Pelodiscus sinensis: one gene and its partners. The protein of the gene in region 1 purifies or fractionates together with the protein of each later gene. This does not show direct contact. Links are inferred from orthologs where the notes say so. Each region holds a gene or a part of one and is shown in the gene's direction. Other genes may lie near its edges. The genes, in order: HDAC2, MACROH2A1 and GTF2I.

Region 1 (4,806 bases):
GCCGGGAGTCAGGGCGCAGAGAGGCGGGTGGTGCAGCAGGCGGCCAGGTGGGGGGCTGGCAGCGGCAGCCATGGAACTCTGGCCCTAGCCATAGAGTTCAGGGACTGCAGCGGCAGCCACAGAGCTCCAGCCCCCGGCTGTGGAGCTCCAATCCCAGCGGCAGCCAAGATCCTGCAAACAGCAGTGAGGCTAGGCTGGAGCCCTAAACAGGGTAGCAGGACATCCTGGGTAGAGGGACCTCCCCTGGTCCGGCAAATCCCCTCATTTGGTACTGCTCAAGTCTCCAGGGTGCTGGATGAGGGAGGTCCAACCTGTAATAAAGAAATAGTTTAAATAAATAGACTGGACTACTTTGGGGTTATTGCTTTTTGTTTAAATGACTGTATTGATTGAGTAGAAATCTGGCAATTCTATTTTTGTTGATTTTTCCCCGCCCAGATGACATCATGAAATTATCCCTTGCTTTAGTTCGTATCTGGGGTATTGTTTTTCAGTAATTTATTTACTTTTAAACATTCCTGGAAAGAATTAATTCTCTCATTCACCTCTTCACAATTTGGACCATAAAACCATGGGTGGTGGGGGAAAGGCCCAGCTGGGATAGACAGCAAAGGCTCTGCCCCTTCCACCCAAAGCCACACCCCTTCCCAAGATCATGTCCCTTCATAACCTTTTCTCCTCCCCTCCTCTATCGCCACCCGAGGTCAGTGGCATCTGAGTGTCACGGATCCAGCCTTCCCCAGTCACCGAAGAGCAGGGTGCCAGCCATGCAGCATTGCCCTAGCCTTCCTGGCCACTGGACTGGCAGCTGTACAGTCCCAGCTTTCCCTGGCTGCTGGGCTGCCATGGCCCCAGCCCCTTCTAGGTGGCTGGGCAGTGTAGGCAGTTTTGAGAAGGCAATGCCTTCCCTTGCCTAAATTACCTGCTGCCCATGCATAAGACTTTTTTTAAAAAATACAAGGCTAAGCAGATTTTATTTCTCTCTACTAAAGATGGTATCAAACTTGTATTAAGGCTCCAAAACTGACACCTCAAGATTTGGGGTTGGAAATATCTTGCTGCTGCATGTTCTAAACGTAGGAATAACCTTAAAATGGGGCTCTAATGGGTATTTGTGATATTTTTCTTTATACAAGACTTAGGACCGCTGTGCCTGTCAGCTGATTTCTGAGACACCACTTGAAAAAAAAACTCGGGAATTTCCAAGTGCATAAGTAGCCTCTGGGGTGCAATGCTGGTTAAAGCCCTCCTCCCCCATCCCTAAATCGGAAATGGCGCCCCAGAATGGGGAGACAAGATGGGGGATTTGCGACCAGTCGCGGCCTGTTTGCAACGAGCTTGTCTGAGTGGCCGCTTCACGCCGGCCCCGCCTCGCACCCGGGGGCAGGGTGGCAGCTGCGGGTGCGCTCGTGCCGCCCCTCTGGGGTGCCGGGTCAGACAGCGGAGCCTGGAGTGATGCGCAGCCCCGCCCCGCCTCCTCCCAAGCACGTGACGCGATTCAGACCGATGGTGGAGGGGAGGGGAGTGAGCTTTGCGCATGAGCAGACACCGTCCCCATTGTGGGGAGGGGGAGAGAACGCGCGCGTCGCCCGCTACCTCGCGCAGGCAGTCTGGCGGGCTGTACCACTGTGTAACACTGCGACAGGGGGAGAGGCCCCATCCCTATTTGATTTGTCAGGGACGCACCTCCCGCCGCTGCCTCCCGCTCGGGCCGGCCGACGGTCGGTCCGCGCGGCTCCCCATTCAGCGCCGGGGGGGAGGTGTCGGGCGGGCCCAGCCGAGCTGGTGGCGGGAGTCGCGGCGCTACCCGGCCCTTTCCCCCCCCCCCCGGGTCGGCTGCAAAGTGAGCGCGTCCCCGTTCCCCGCTGTTGATGGTCGGGTCGGTGCGTTGCTCCTGCCCCCGGCGTCGCGAGTTCACGCTCGCTCGGCTCCCTCCTCCCTCCCTCCCGCCCGGCTCGGCCTCAGCCTCCCGGCGGCCCCATGGCGTACAGTCAGGGCGGCGGCAAGAAGAAAGTCTGTTATTACTATGACGGTGAGCGGCGGGGCCCTGGTTCCCTGCGATTCCCTCCCGCCCCCCCCCCCCACGGGGCTTTCTCCGTCGTGCCCCTCCCCCCCCCCCGCTCCCCGCACCTCGGCGCGGCGCTTCGCTCCAGTGTCGGGGCGGCGGCGGCCGATCGCAGCCCCGGTTCCGAGCGACGCGCCTGAGGCCGCTGGGCTGAGGGGTTCGCCAGGGGCTGCGCCCGGGCTCGTGCGTAGCTGCCGGGGCGGGGGAGCGCTCCCGCTGGGGGCCTGCCTGTCGCTTGAGGAGAAGCGGGCGACTGGTGGGTCCTGAATCTCCGCGGCTGCCCCTAGGTCCTGGCAGCCTCCCCCGGCCGGGCAGACGCTCGGGTTGCTGTGCGCGCTCACCTCTTGGCTCCGGATGCCCCTCGGCTCATCACAGCAGCGCACTAGGTCCTGTGGCTTAACCAGTCATCCATAGCTAAGCGGTGCTTGGGATTTGGGTTGCACTGAGTTTCAGGTGTTGGCAGCACGCCCTGAAGTGGAAACCCGTCTGTCCCCTTTGCTTGCTAGGCTAAAGGTATTGCTCAGCTCACTCGTTTGGAGCTAAATTTCTACATAAAGAAAGATGCCTCGGAACTACCTATTGAGAATGGGTGGCATAGATCGGGAATTTTGATATTGACTGCAGTGAAGAAAGAGGGGATGAGGCTGCTTTGCAGTACCTATTTCATTGCCTTGTCACAGTTTGGGATAAGGAGAGCAGTATCATCGGCCCATGATGATGCCAGAAGTGCTGCTACTATGGTAGCTCTGTTGGTCAGAAATTCCAGACCTGAAGAAGAGCTCTGGGAGAAAGCTTTCTCTCCTCAATAGAAGTTGATCCAGTAAAAGATATTACCTCACCTTGTGTAGTCAGAAAAAACGGCAGTTTTGTTGGGGCCTGGTGAGGGTTTTCTAACATGCTGGCAAGTTAGGCAGAGTGATGTGGTTGCCGCCCCCTTCTCTTTGTCCTTCACTCTGGTTCTTTGTTCAGCATAAGGGCAAAAGGAGGCCCTGTTAAGGAAAATTTTACTGAAACTGGTGTCTGACTTTTCTCTGGAAGAAGAGTAGACAGTCTTGCTGAAGGGAAGATTACATTGCTATTTTAAGTTATATTTGCCAGTCTGTCACTAAAAATGTAGTTACGTGGTTGGGCAGTGTATTAGAGCAAAGTACATTTGATAAATATGGGTACCATTTCACTAGAGTTCAACACTGGCATTTAGTAGTAGCAAAATAATAATAAGCGCCATTGCTTGGGTCTATGCTTCTGTGTTGGCAGGGTGATGAGCTGATAATTAAATCAGTCCTACTATCTCAGACATCCATGAAAGTGGCTGTTCTTTGGTCAGTTGGAAACTCAGTATTTTCCTCTATTATTGTTCAGACTTCTAATTATATAGCTATTCTCTGGATCTAAGAGAGCATCTTTCCCATTATCTAATATGATCATCAATATTTATAGTATTCACCTGAGTTAGAATGTTTCAAAAGACTTTTTTAAACCTGAAACCAGTATTGTATAAGATGTCAAAGTCAATGTTTATTTTAGATTTCTTAAGTGTAATAGGTTAAAATTTAGAAATTAGCAGTATTCATCAGAGAAATTTTAAGAACTAATTCTGATACTTGTGAGGAAAGTTCCTAATCCACTTACAGTTCACTCAGCATTTCTTCTAATTTCTATGCTGTGCTGTACCCACACAGGTTTGTAAATGTTCTTACTACTGAATGTAAAGGGAAAAATGCTTACAGCCTTAAGGCTACGTCTACACTGGCGTGATCTTGCGCAAAAACTCTTTAGCACAAGAGTTCTTGCGTTAAAGTAGTTGTGCAAGAGAGCGTCTACATTGTCATGTGCTTCTGCACAAGAGATGTGCTTTTGCGCAAGAGCATCCTTGCCAGCGTAGACGCTCTCTTGCGCAAGAAATCTCTGATGGCCATTTTAACCATAGGGCTTTCTTGTGCAAGAAATTCATGTTGCCTGTCTCCATTGGCCTCTTGCGCAAGAACAGTTGCGCAAAAGGGTTTATTCCTGAGCAGGAGCGTCAGAGTTCTGATGCAAAAAGCCCTGATTTCATACATTAGTACATCAGTTTACTTGCGCAACAACATGCAGCCAGTGTAGACAGGCAACAAGTTTTTGCGCAAGAGCGGCTGCTTATGCACAAGATCGTACCAGTGTAGACGCAGCCAGTGTGATCTAAAAGTAGTATAGTTAAAGCCCTATTATCTGGCACTTAGGTAACCTGAAACCTCAATTAACCAGCATTTCTGATATCTGCTAATGCAAATCTTCAATCTAGTGACTAGGACTAGTATGCAGCCTAGCACAGTCGTTGCCAATAAATAAAAATGCAGATCTTGCCATTTAGTGTTATCCTTGGCTTTGCTTTCCCTTGCTGAGTTCTCTGATCTTGGGCTTGTAGTTTGACACTTTAAGCAGCACACAAGCCTCTGTCTCCAGTGCCACTCCTCTAGTGATGATAGCAGAAGAATGACATCCTGATCCTCCACCACAGCAGCTCCCTGGCTCTCCCATGCCACACTGCCGCCCTAGCTCCTGCCCCAGAAGCAGCAACCACAAGGCCTTAACCCAGCTGTAGTCCTTTACCAGGGCTGAATCTGGGGCCAAAACTGTGTGGTGACTTCCCAGCTGTCCTGCATGGCGGCCTGATCACCAGCGGTCCCGGGCCTGCCCCAAGCAGCGGAGGGGCCACTGCTGCAGCCATGTGTTCCTGGGCTGACCCAGGGCGCTGGAGGAAC
Region 2 (4,806 bases), on another chromosome or scaffold:
GGATTATGCACTACATACTTTTTCAGATGATGGAGGGAGAGGCATTGGGAGAATTCAGTGTGCTGGGCAATGCACGCTGAGTGGGTCACAACAGGAGGTGCGGGGAGAATCCCAGCAGAGTGTTGAGGTGCTGAATTGGGCCCTGTCTCAGGGGAGGGGGTAAACAGGACGGAGTTGTATTGTAGGGAGCAGCAAGTACTGCTGTGGTCATTAGTCTGCATGAGAAGCAGCAGGACGTGGCACAGGGCTCTACCCACAGTGTAGGTGGCAGGCAGGAAGAGAAGCAGCTGGAGAGGGGGTTGGTCTCTGCTGCTGCACATTCTGTGGGCAGAGGAGCTGTGGGGGCAGGAGAGGAGAAAAAAGAGGGGGGCCCTTTGGGTTTGCAGTGTGGGTAGGGGAGTTGCAGGGGAAGAGGGCACAGGGCTATTCTGTCAATGTGAAGGACTGAACATAGAGTGGGAGGCGGAGGGGGGCTCTGTGCACGGGGGAGGAGGAGGAGAGAGAAGTGGGGGCTCTGCAAGCTAGGCAGGGAGCCAGGGTCTCTGTGCACTAGCGAAGGGAGGGATTCGGGTAGGGGACTCTGGGCACTAGGGGAGAGAGGGGCAGAAGGGTTTTTTGCACTATAGGAAGAAGGAATGGTGCACTAGGGGAAGGAGGGACAGCTTTTTTGCACTAGTGAAAGAGGGAGCTGTGCACTAGGGGAGGGACAGAGGGATTTTTTTGCACTAGGGGAAGGAGAAGCTGTGCACCAGGGAAGGGAGGAGCACAGGGGTTTTTTTGCACTAGAAGAAGGAGAAGCTGGGGGCCAGGGAGTCTGTGCACTATGGGAAGAAGGAGCTGTGCACTAGGGGAAGGAGGGGCAGAGGAGGTTTTCCATCAGTGGAAGGAGGAGCTGTGCACTTAGGGGAAGGAGGGGCAGAGGGGGTTTTCCATTACTGGAAGGAGGAGCTGTGCACTAGGGGAGGGAGGGGCAGAGGGGGTTTTCCATTAGTGGAAGGAGGAGCTGTGCACTGGGGAGGGAGGGGCAGAGGGGGTTTTGCACTAGGGAAGGGGAGGGGAGTGAAGGGCAGAGGGGGTTTTCCATTAGTGGAAGGAGGAGTTGTGCACTAGGGGAGGGAGGGGCAGAGGGGGTTTTCCATTAGTGGAAGGAGGAGCTGTGCACTAGGGGAGGGAGGGGCAGAGGGGGTTTTGCACTGGGGGGAAGGGCAGAGGGGGTTTCCATTAGTGGAAGGAGGAGCTGTGCACTTGGGAGGGAGGGGCAGAGGGGATTTTGCACTAGGGGACGGAGGGGCAGAGGGGGTTTTGCACTAGGGGAGGGGAAGGGCAGAGGGGGTTTCCATTAGTGGAAGGAGGAGCTGTGCACTGGGGACGGAGGGGCAGAGGGGGTTTTGCACTAGGGGAGGGGAAGGGCAGAGGGGGTTTCCATTGTGGAAGGAGGAGCTGTGCACTGGGGAGGGGAAGGGCAGAAGGGGTTTCCATTAGTGGAAGGAGGAGCTGTGCACTAGGGGAGGGAGGGGCAGAGGGGGTTTTGCACTAGGGGGGAAGGGCAGAGGGGGTTTCCATTAGTGGAGGGAGGAGCTGTGCACTGGGGAGGGAGGGGCAGAGGGGGTTTTGCACTAGGGGAGGGGAAGGGCAGAGGGGGTTTCCATTAGTGGAAGGAGGAGCTGTGCACTAGGGGAGGGAGGGGCAGAGGGGGTTTCCATTAGTGGAAGGAGGAGCTGTGCACTGGGGACGGAGGGGCAGAGGGGGTTTTGCACTAGGGGAGGGAGGGGCCGAAGGTTTTTTTGCACTAGGGGAATGAGAAGCTGGGGGCGGGGGACTCTGTGCACTAGGGGAGGGAGGGAGGGGCTGGGTAGCGGCAGAGGGCTCCGCGCGCTGGCGATGAACCCGACCAGGCGGCGCGCGACGGTGGGAGGGGGAGGGTGGGGCAAGCTCCGCTCCCAGCACGCGGCGGCAGCACCAGGCGGGGCTGGCCCAGGAGGGGAGGGGAGGGGATGTGACGAGGCGCTCGCGGTGCATTGTGGGACCTCACCCAGCCGCTCAGGGGCGGACTTGTTCCAGTTCACACGGCGGCCGAGCCCGGGGAGCGGACGGTCGGGGCGACGGGAGACATTTTGCCGCTGCCGGTAGGTCGGCGCCGGGCGCGGCTCTCGCCGGCTGTCCCGGGGGCGGGGGGGGCTGGCTCCCGTCCCCGTATCGCTCTGGGGAGGGGCTCTGGAGCACCGGGCGGGTCTGCCCAGCGGGCAGCTCCTGGGCGCTGCGAGCCAGGGACGCACCGGGCGCCTCGCCAGCGGGGTCTGGGCAGAAACGAGCTCGCTGGCCCCTTCCTGACGGGAAATGGAGGGATCCTGGGGACCCCCCCCCCCGGGTCCTCCGAGTGGTTTGTCTCCCGGGACTCCGCTCCCCTCTCAGCATGAGGGGCAGTGGGGTCCCCTTGCCGCCCAGGAGCAGGGCGCTGAGGCTGGACGGAGCCCACTTAGTACCAGCAGTCGCAGCATGTTGCACAGAGATGTAAATGGAGGAGTCTGTGTTGAAACCAGCTTTGCCTCCCTCCCCTCCCCGCTTCCTCTTCTCTCCCACCGGGTCATTGGACAGGAGAGGATAATGTGTAGCGACTGCAAAAAGGAATGGCCGGAGCACAGCGGGAGGACATTTTTGGTCCACTCTGCCATTGTCGCCTCGTGCTGAAGTGCAAAGTTGTGTGTGATTGCACAAGGGGGAAGGACTTACGCCTAGGAAGAACTAACTGACATTTTCTGAAAACAGAGCAGCCTCGCAGTGGAAGAAGTAAATATTGGGCAAAGGAATGGCTGCCACACACATTATTTTGGGGCTGTCATTTTTAAAGCCTGTGCGGTTCTTTCCGACAAACACATCACGCTCTAGGCAGCGTGTGGGTGTTTCTCGCAGGAGCTGCACCCTAGCTGCAGGTATGGCATGCTGCAGGTGAATACAGGTTTCTCTCAGTATGAGGACCAAACATGGATTTGCTGGAAAACTGAAGGGTGTGTATGTAAAGAAGAAAGTAGTAGGAACAAGTACACACAAGTTCTTTGTAGCTAATCTCTTGGTTTTTTTGTTTACTGTGAAGTCTTTAAAAGTTACTTGTAGAAGGTCCCCATTTATACCTGTGGCAGACATGAGGGGCCAGATTTCATTTAATCAAACTAATGTAAAATGTGTCTATTTATATTGATATTACATTGACTTGTTGAATTATGGCTTATGATTTCATATTTTGACCATTAGAATGAGCATAATATTTTTCTAAGATTACACTATGACTGTCACAAAGCAACAGGTATGTAAGTAACTTTATAGCTGAGGCACCTGCCTAAGTGTTTGGTAGAAATAGATGAACCAAATAGCAAGTTAGTCTTTAATTAAAGAATGAACCCCTGGGTTCTGAGGCATAGAATGGAAATAAAAGGCATAACACAACAATTACAGTTTCTCTGATAATCCCTGTTTTGTTTTTCTAGATGCATTTGGTTATTGGGAGAATTTATACTGAGCATCCAATTTACCTAGATTATTATTGTTTTGTTTTTTATTGTTTAAACAGTTGAAGGAATTACCTTTAAATATTTTAGATCCAAATTTTAATTCCAAGGCATTTTGTTCTTATGTGATGACATGGCAAAAATGGTGTAAAGAAGTGAAACCTTTCAGGCTACTTGAACACCTACATGAAAACCTATATAAATATATGTATATTTTGTGTGTGTGTGTGTGTGTATATATATATATAGAGAGAGAGAGTGTGTATATATGAATATGTATATATATTCCATTGAATTGAATGCAAGTTATTCATACCAGGCCAAATTGTGTTCCACCTTTGCAGTGATGTAAACTGGGAGAATTTAACACTAACACTGAAAGGTACACTCAGGTGTTCCTGATTTTAGCTCAATGTTTAGCAAAAGTATAACTGCTGCAAACAAAAGAAAACTTGTCTTGGTGCTGCAGAGTTTCTACTGAATAACAAGGAGTTCCTTAAAAAGAGCCTTTCTCTGCATGACAAATGGAATAGTGAAAAAACTTTAAAAACGACCGAATGGTCCTGCAGCACCTTAGAGACTAACAAAAAATGTAGCATCATGAGCTTTTGTGGGCACAGCCCTCTTCTTTAGATGGAATAGTAACATTCCAGAACAGTAGTTTGGATCCAAATTTCCCCTTCCTTTCAAAATAAGGAAAAGGTGATATATATTTTGCACTATGATCTAAAGGCCCCAATCAGCCCATTATGGTAGGTAAGTACATAACAAAAAGACATCTCCCCTGCTCTGCATGCTTACAATGTAAATATATGACAAGTAACAAAAGTAGGAGGAAAGGAGAAGGCCTCAGAATTTTAAGAGCACTGTGGAGAAGAGGGGACCCGGCCCAAACATCTGCTCAGCATTATGCTTGAAAGCACTCACAGCGCTTCCCAGATATCCAGGTTGGAGGAGAGGAGCATAACTACTGCACCTCCTGTGAAGAGGGGTCATCCCTCTTTCCTGAATGTTGCTCAGTTAAATATGAGGGAGGGATGGTCCATGGCTATAGTGCCTTCTCCCTTGCCAGCCCACATTGGAAAGACTGACATTATATATGGGCTGACATTGTTTTTACAGTCAAAGGAGTTAAGTGTGAGGATGTCATTGTGCCTGGCATCCACTTAGCCTGGTCCTTTTACCCTCTTTCCTATTTGTTCACCTGCACAAGGACCAGGCAGCATTGTTGTCTATTGTTAAACTTATTTTACATATGGATTGTGGCTGGAAAACACCCACTTCGACTGTTTGTTTGCATTTC
Region 3 (4,806 bases), on another chromosome or scaffold:
CTAGACACAGCCCTAATGAAATAATTTTTCCTAATATCCAATCTAGACCTCCCCCATGTAACCCTTTCCCCTGTAAAAGATCTTTTGGGGGCACCCTGAGTTTTGGACTCCAATACAGTTTTTCTCCTGCTCTTGTTGGTTCTCTTCTGTACACATCTACTTTGGGTCCATACAGTGGTTAAATTCCCCCACAAATGTCACAATGTGCAAGTGTCAGTGATGCAAAGATTCATATTCACGGCAACCTCAGGATCAGGTAGTAAACAATGCAGGCGTGGGCATTTCCCGTATTTTTGGCAAGGGGAGGGGGTCGTCGTTCAGCTGAGTAAAGCCCTGGCCGGGTTGATTTAGATGCGATTGGTCCTGCCTAGAGCAGGGGGCTGGACTTGATGCCCTCCTGGGGTCTCTTTCCAGTTCTATGATTAGGGGATGGATTGATGAGATAACATGATCTTGGTAACTAATTGACCATTCATTTTCAGTGGGAAATACGTCAATGGAGGGATGGTAGGAGTTACTATAGAGAATTTCTGGGTGTCTGGCTGGTGAGTCTTGCCCACATGCTCAGGGTTTAGCAGATCGCCATATTTGGGGTCGGGAAGGAATTTTCCTCCAGGGTAGATTGGCAGAGGCCCTGGAGGTTTTTCGCCTTCCTCTGTAGCATGGGGCACAGATCACAGCTGGAGGATTCTCTGCATCTTGGGGCCTTCGAAGTATTTGAAGGCTTCAATATCTGAGATATAGGTGAGGGGATTATTCTAGGAGGGGTGGGTGAGATTCTGTGGCCTGCACTGTGCAGGGGGGCAGACTAGATGATCATAATGATCCCTTCTGACCTTAGCGTCTATGAGAGCAAGGGCAGCCTTATGGCAGCTGGTCTTTGTTTACACGAGCCCCCCTTTGCCCAAGCCAGGATACAGTGGGCAGGCCCAGCCCGGGCTCAAGCGGAGAGCAGGGCCCGGCGGGGCGGTTTCCTCTTGCGTGTGGCGGGGGCCGTCCAGCAGCTGCCATCTTGGCCCGGGGCCGCAGGGGAGCAGAGGGCTCCCGGGCCAGCGGCCTGTCCCCGCTGTGGGTGTAACGCGGCTGGGCTGCTTCCCCCCGGCAGGCGAGCACTGTCCAGCCCGAGGCAATGGAGGGGGAGGCAGGGCCTGCTCTGAGGCCCAGCCCGGCTGCTTCCCCCTCAGGGCTGCCCAGGCGACCGTTTAACGGTCCGGGCATCCCCGCCCCACAGCGAGGACGACGGCGGCCGCGCGGCGCCGCGCTGGCGGCCCCAGCACGCGCCGCGCCGCGCGGCCATGTCCGCCTCGCCCGCCTGAGAGGCCAGCGTCGCCCCCCTCTCTCGCTCCTTTCCCCCTGCTCCCTCCGCACGCCGCGGCAGCGGGTCGCCTTCGCCCGGGGCAGGCTGGGAGTTGTAGTCCGCCGGCCGGCCGGCTTCCCGCCGCCCAGCGCTTGCCGGGAGGGGTCCGCCGAACTGCAACTCCCGGCAGGCGCTGCGGCCCGCGCGCCTGCGCAAAGCGGCTTTCCTCGAACAAAAAACTCCCCTCTCGGTCCCCCCCCCCCCTTCGCAGCGGTCCTGGGTTCAGGGTGAACGACTGTGTGAGGGGACCAGGCCCGGCCGGCGCCCCAGCGGACGCGGTCAGCGAGCCCCCGCCGGACGAGTCGCCGAGGGGACAGGCCCTGCTGGGAAGCGCCTGCTGTGAGCTGGGATTAGCGCGGCCTCCCCTTGCCCCGAGGCGGCGGCGTCTCCTCGCCGACTCTCACCAGGACCCGGGCTGCCCTGACGCGGCGGCGGCCAGCCAGTGAGTGAGAGCCCGGGCCGAAGGGGCTAGGCCGGGCCCGGGGTGTCCCCGTCGCTATTCCCGCGGGGGGGGGCTCACCCCCCTTCTGGTCACTATTCCGCGCGCCCGTGGGGGGGGGGAACTCGCATGCCCCGCCTCAGTCGCTAGTGAGTAAGTGTGAATGTGAGTTGATGGGGGGGAATAACTCACATGCCCCGCCTTAGTCACTAGTGAGTGTGAGTGAGTGTGATGGGGGGAAAACTCACTTGCCCCGCCTCAGTCACTAGTGAGTGAGAGAGTGAGTGTGAATGTGAGTGTGATGGGGGAAAAACTCACATGCCCCGCCTTAGTCACTAGTGAGTGAGAGAGTGAGTGTGAATGTGAGTGTGATGGGGGAATAACTCACATGCCCCGCCTTAGTCACTAGTGAGTGTGAGTGAGTGTGAATGTGAGTGTGATGGGGGGAAAACTCACTTGCCCCGCCTCAGTCACTAGTGAGTGAGAGAGTGAGTGTGAATGTGAGTGTGATGGGGGAAAAACTCACATGCCCCGCCTTAGTCACTAGTGAGTGAGAGAGTGAGTGTGAATGTGAGTGTGATGGGGGAAAAACTCACATGCCCCGCCTTAGTCACTAGTGAGTGAGAGAGTGAGTGTGAATGTGAGTGTGATGGGGGAAAAACTCACATGCCCCGCCTTAGTCACTAGTGAGTGTGAGTGAGTGTGAATGTGAGTGTGATGGGGGGAAACTCACATGCCCCACCTTAGTCACTAGTGTGTGAGAGTGAGAGTGAATGTGAGTGTGAGTGTGATGGGGGGAAAACTCACATGCCCCGCCTCAGTCGTGTGTGTGTGTGTGTGTGTGTGTAAGAGAGTGAATGGGGCGGGGGAACGCATATGCCCGCCTTGGTTGCCATTCCCCATGGTAGAGGAAGAACTCGAATCCCCCTTCCCCCCCTTCCTTGGCTGCTACTCCTGTGTGACTGTGAGAGATTCATTTCCTCTCCTGCCAGCTTTGCCCCTCTTCAGTCGACATTCCTTGAGAAGTGCTATACCCCGCCAATTCCCTTTCCCCCTTATTGGCCACCTCTTGGGGATGTCTCGGTCTCCCTCTTGGGATTGGTCCTGCCTTGGGCTTGGGGCTGGACTTGATGACCTCCTGAGGTCTCTTCCAGCCCTAAGATTATGTGAATCTCTTGCCTGCCAGTTGCTACTGAATGCCATCTCATTTCCGCTTCTGCTGGGGGAGCTTTCACACCTCTTCCAGCGCCAGTCATGGTTACTTTGCTGGTGGAGCGCAACACTCTCCATCTTTGATCATGGCCATTGGAAGGAAGCTGTTCCGAGGTTGTGCATTGGTGGTGGCTGTGTGGTCCTTGCACTGGAGTGCCACAGCTTCTCATTGTATGGCATATGCCAGATCCTGGTGAGGAATGTGGGTGGAAGAGAAGTAGGGAAGGGCAAGTATCTGCTTCTTGGGAGGGGACCATAGGGATTGTATTCTAATTGACCCTTCTTAGTTAACTCGTCTCTGGGAGTCTGGTGGGTTCCAGAAGGAGAAGCTTAGAGGGTTGGCTTCATGCTTGAAGTGCAAAATGGGAAACAAGGAGTTTAGACCACTCTGCTTAGCATGAATGCTTTATTTTCAAATTCCTTGACTTGCACCTCTTTTCTCTTGTGTATTGAGGATGAATGAGACACAAACTGAGGCTCAGCACATCCTGGGGCATTCTCTTTTGAGAAGGGTTACAAGGAAAACATGTAGTTCTTACCCTTCCCTGCCTGTGTCAGAGATGTTTTTTCTAAGATAAGGACTCTTGTAACAAATTTTTTTTTTTGTTTAACCAAAAGCTTTGTCTCCTTTCTGCCTGTGAAATAACTGCAGTCATTGGGTTTGAATATTATTAGCCTTTGATCTGAGTGGCTAATCCAGGTTTTAGGGATGTGGGGAGTTTCCACCAATAGGAGGAACTGATGAAAGTGTCAGGCACCTTTGATGCTTTGTAAAAGTATTATTTCCTCAAACACAGAGTGAAGCAAAAATAACAGGAGGTAGTTTCTTTGCTTGCATCCCAAGCTGCTTCTTGCCAGCTTGACCAGGCTGTGTCTCTTTTGCTCTTTTCAGTCTTTGTTCCTCTCTCTGTCTTCTTGAGCTGTCTGTCCCACACACTAGAGAGCCAGGTTTGCTCTAGAAAGTTTTGCTGGCATAGCTATGTTGGTTAGGCATGTGGGAAGAAAATACCCCTAAATAGCATAGCTATGCTGGCAACCCCCCACCCTCCATGCAGATGCAATTTATACTGGCACAGCTTATGTCTTGTGGGGAGGTTGTTTTTATACACTGGATTTCCATTAGGGGGCTTTGCCAGAAGAAACACTGGTGTATCTTTATCTGCACAATATTTAGAGTAAACTTGCTTTTCTTTCATGTAATCTGAATGAAGAGCTGCAGTTCAAGCTGATACACTTAAAAGTTTTTTCACCTATGAAATTATATGTATTAATGTAAATATCATCAGTCATAACTAGCACAGTTACTGTGCATAATTTCGTATTTTGTTTCTTTTATTCTTCGTTGTTGCCTGGAATGGTGCAAAAAGACACCAACAGGGTAGCCTGCAGGAAAAAATGATAGTATTGTATTTGTAGGTGAAAAAGATTGAGAACCAACCTTTGGTTTATGTATGTGCTTTACATTTTTCTTTAAATGTTTTAATCTCTTTCCCCTCTTGATCACTGTCTCACATCCATCCCAGGTTGCCCATGTAATGGTAGCCTATAGGAGGGATGTTAAGTAATGTGTATTCGTGTAAATGAATAGCTGCTGACATTTTTAATGTTTACACGCTGGATGGGGACAGGCAAAAAGCTGGTGCTTGTGGCTCTTGCCTCCCTCCTCTGTGGGATGCAGAGGGGGAAGGTAGCTTTGCAGAAGCCAACTCCCCTCATGTCCTCTCCTGTCTGCTCCTCTCCCCCCCAAAAGTTGCCTCTGGGGTGCAGCAAGTTTGGGGGAGGGGCCAGGCGACTGTGG

The links.
Region 2: the proteins of HDAC2 (region 1) and MACROH2A1 purify together in Homo sapiens (affinity purification with western blotting; 3 studies listed by BioGRID, with this or other methods). This does not show direct contact. The link is inferred for Pelodiscus sinensis from reciprocal best matches to the Homo sapiens genes HDAC2 and MACROH2A1.
Region 3: the proteins of HDAC2 (region 1) and GTF2I purify together in Homo sapiens (affinity purification with western blotting; 4 studies listed by BioGRID, with this or other methods). This does not show direct contact. The link is inferred for Pelodiscus sinensis from reciprocal best matches to the Homo sapiens genes HDAC2 and GTF2I.

What each region holds. Positions count from the first base shown.
Region 1 is NC_134713.1:81,522,091-81,526,896, reverse strand, and holds the start of HDAC2 (histone deacetylase 2), read left to right. Parts: upstream 1-1,822; 5' UTR 1,823-1,980; coding exon 1,981-2,032; intron 2,033-4,806. UniProt on the Homo sapiens protein: Histone deacetylase that catalyzes the deacetylation of lysine residues on the N-terminal part of the core histones (H2A, H2B, H3 and H4).
Region 2 is NC_134727.1:29,457,362-29,462,167, reverse strand, and holds the start of MACROH2A1 (core histone macro-H2A.1), read left to right. Parts: upstream 1-1,971; 5' UTR 1,972-2,126; intron 2,127-4,806. UniProt on the Homo sapiens protein: Variant histone H2A which replaces conventional H2A in a subset of nucleosomes where it represses transcription. Nucleosomes wrap and compact DNA into chromatin, limiting DNA accessibility to the cellular machineries which require DNA as a template.
Region 3 is NC_134731.1:24,127,124-24,131,929, reverse strand, and holds the start of GTF2I (general transcription factor II-I), read left to right. Parts: upstream 1-1,512; 5' UTR 1,513-1,799; intron 1,800-4,806. UniProt on the Homo sapiens protein: Interacts with the basal transcription machinery by coordinating the formation of a multiprotein complex at the C-FOS promoter, and linking specific signal responsive activator complexes.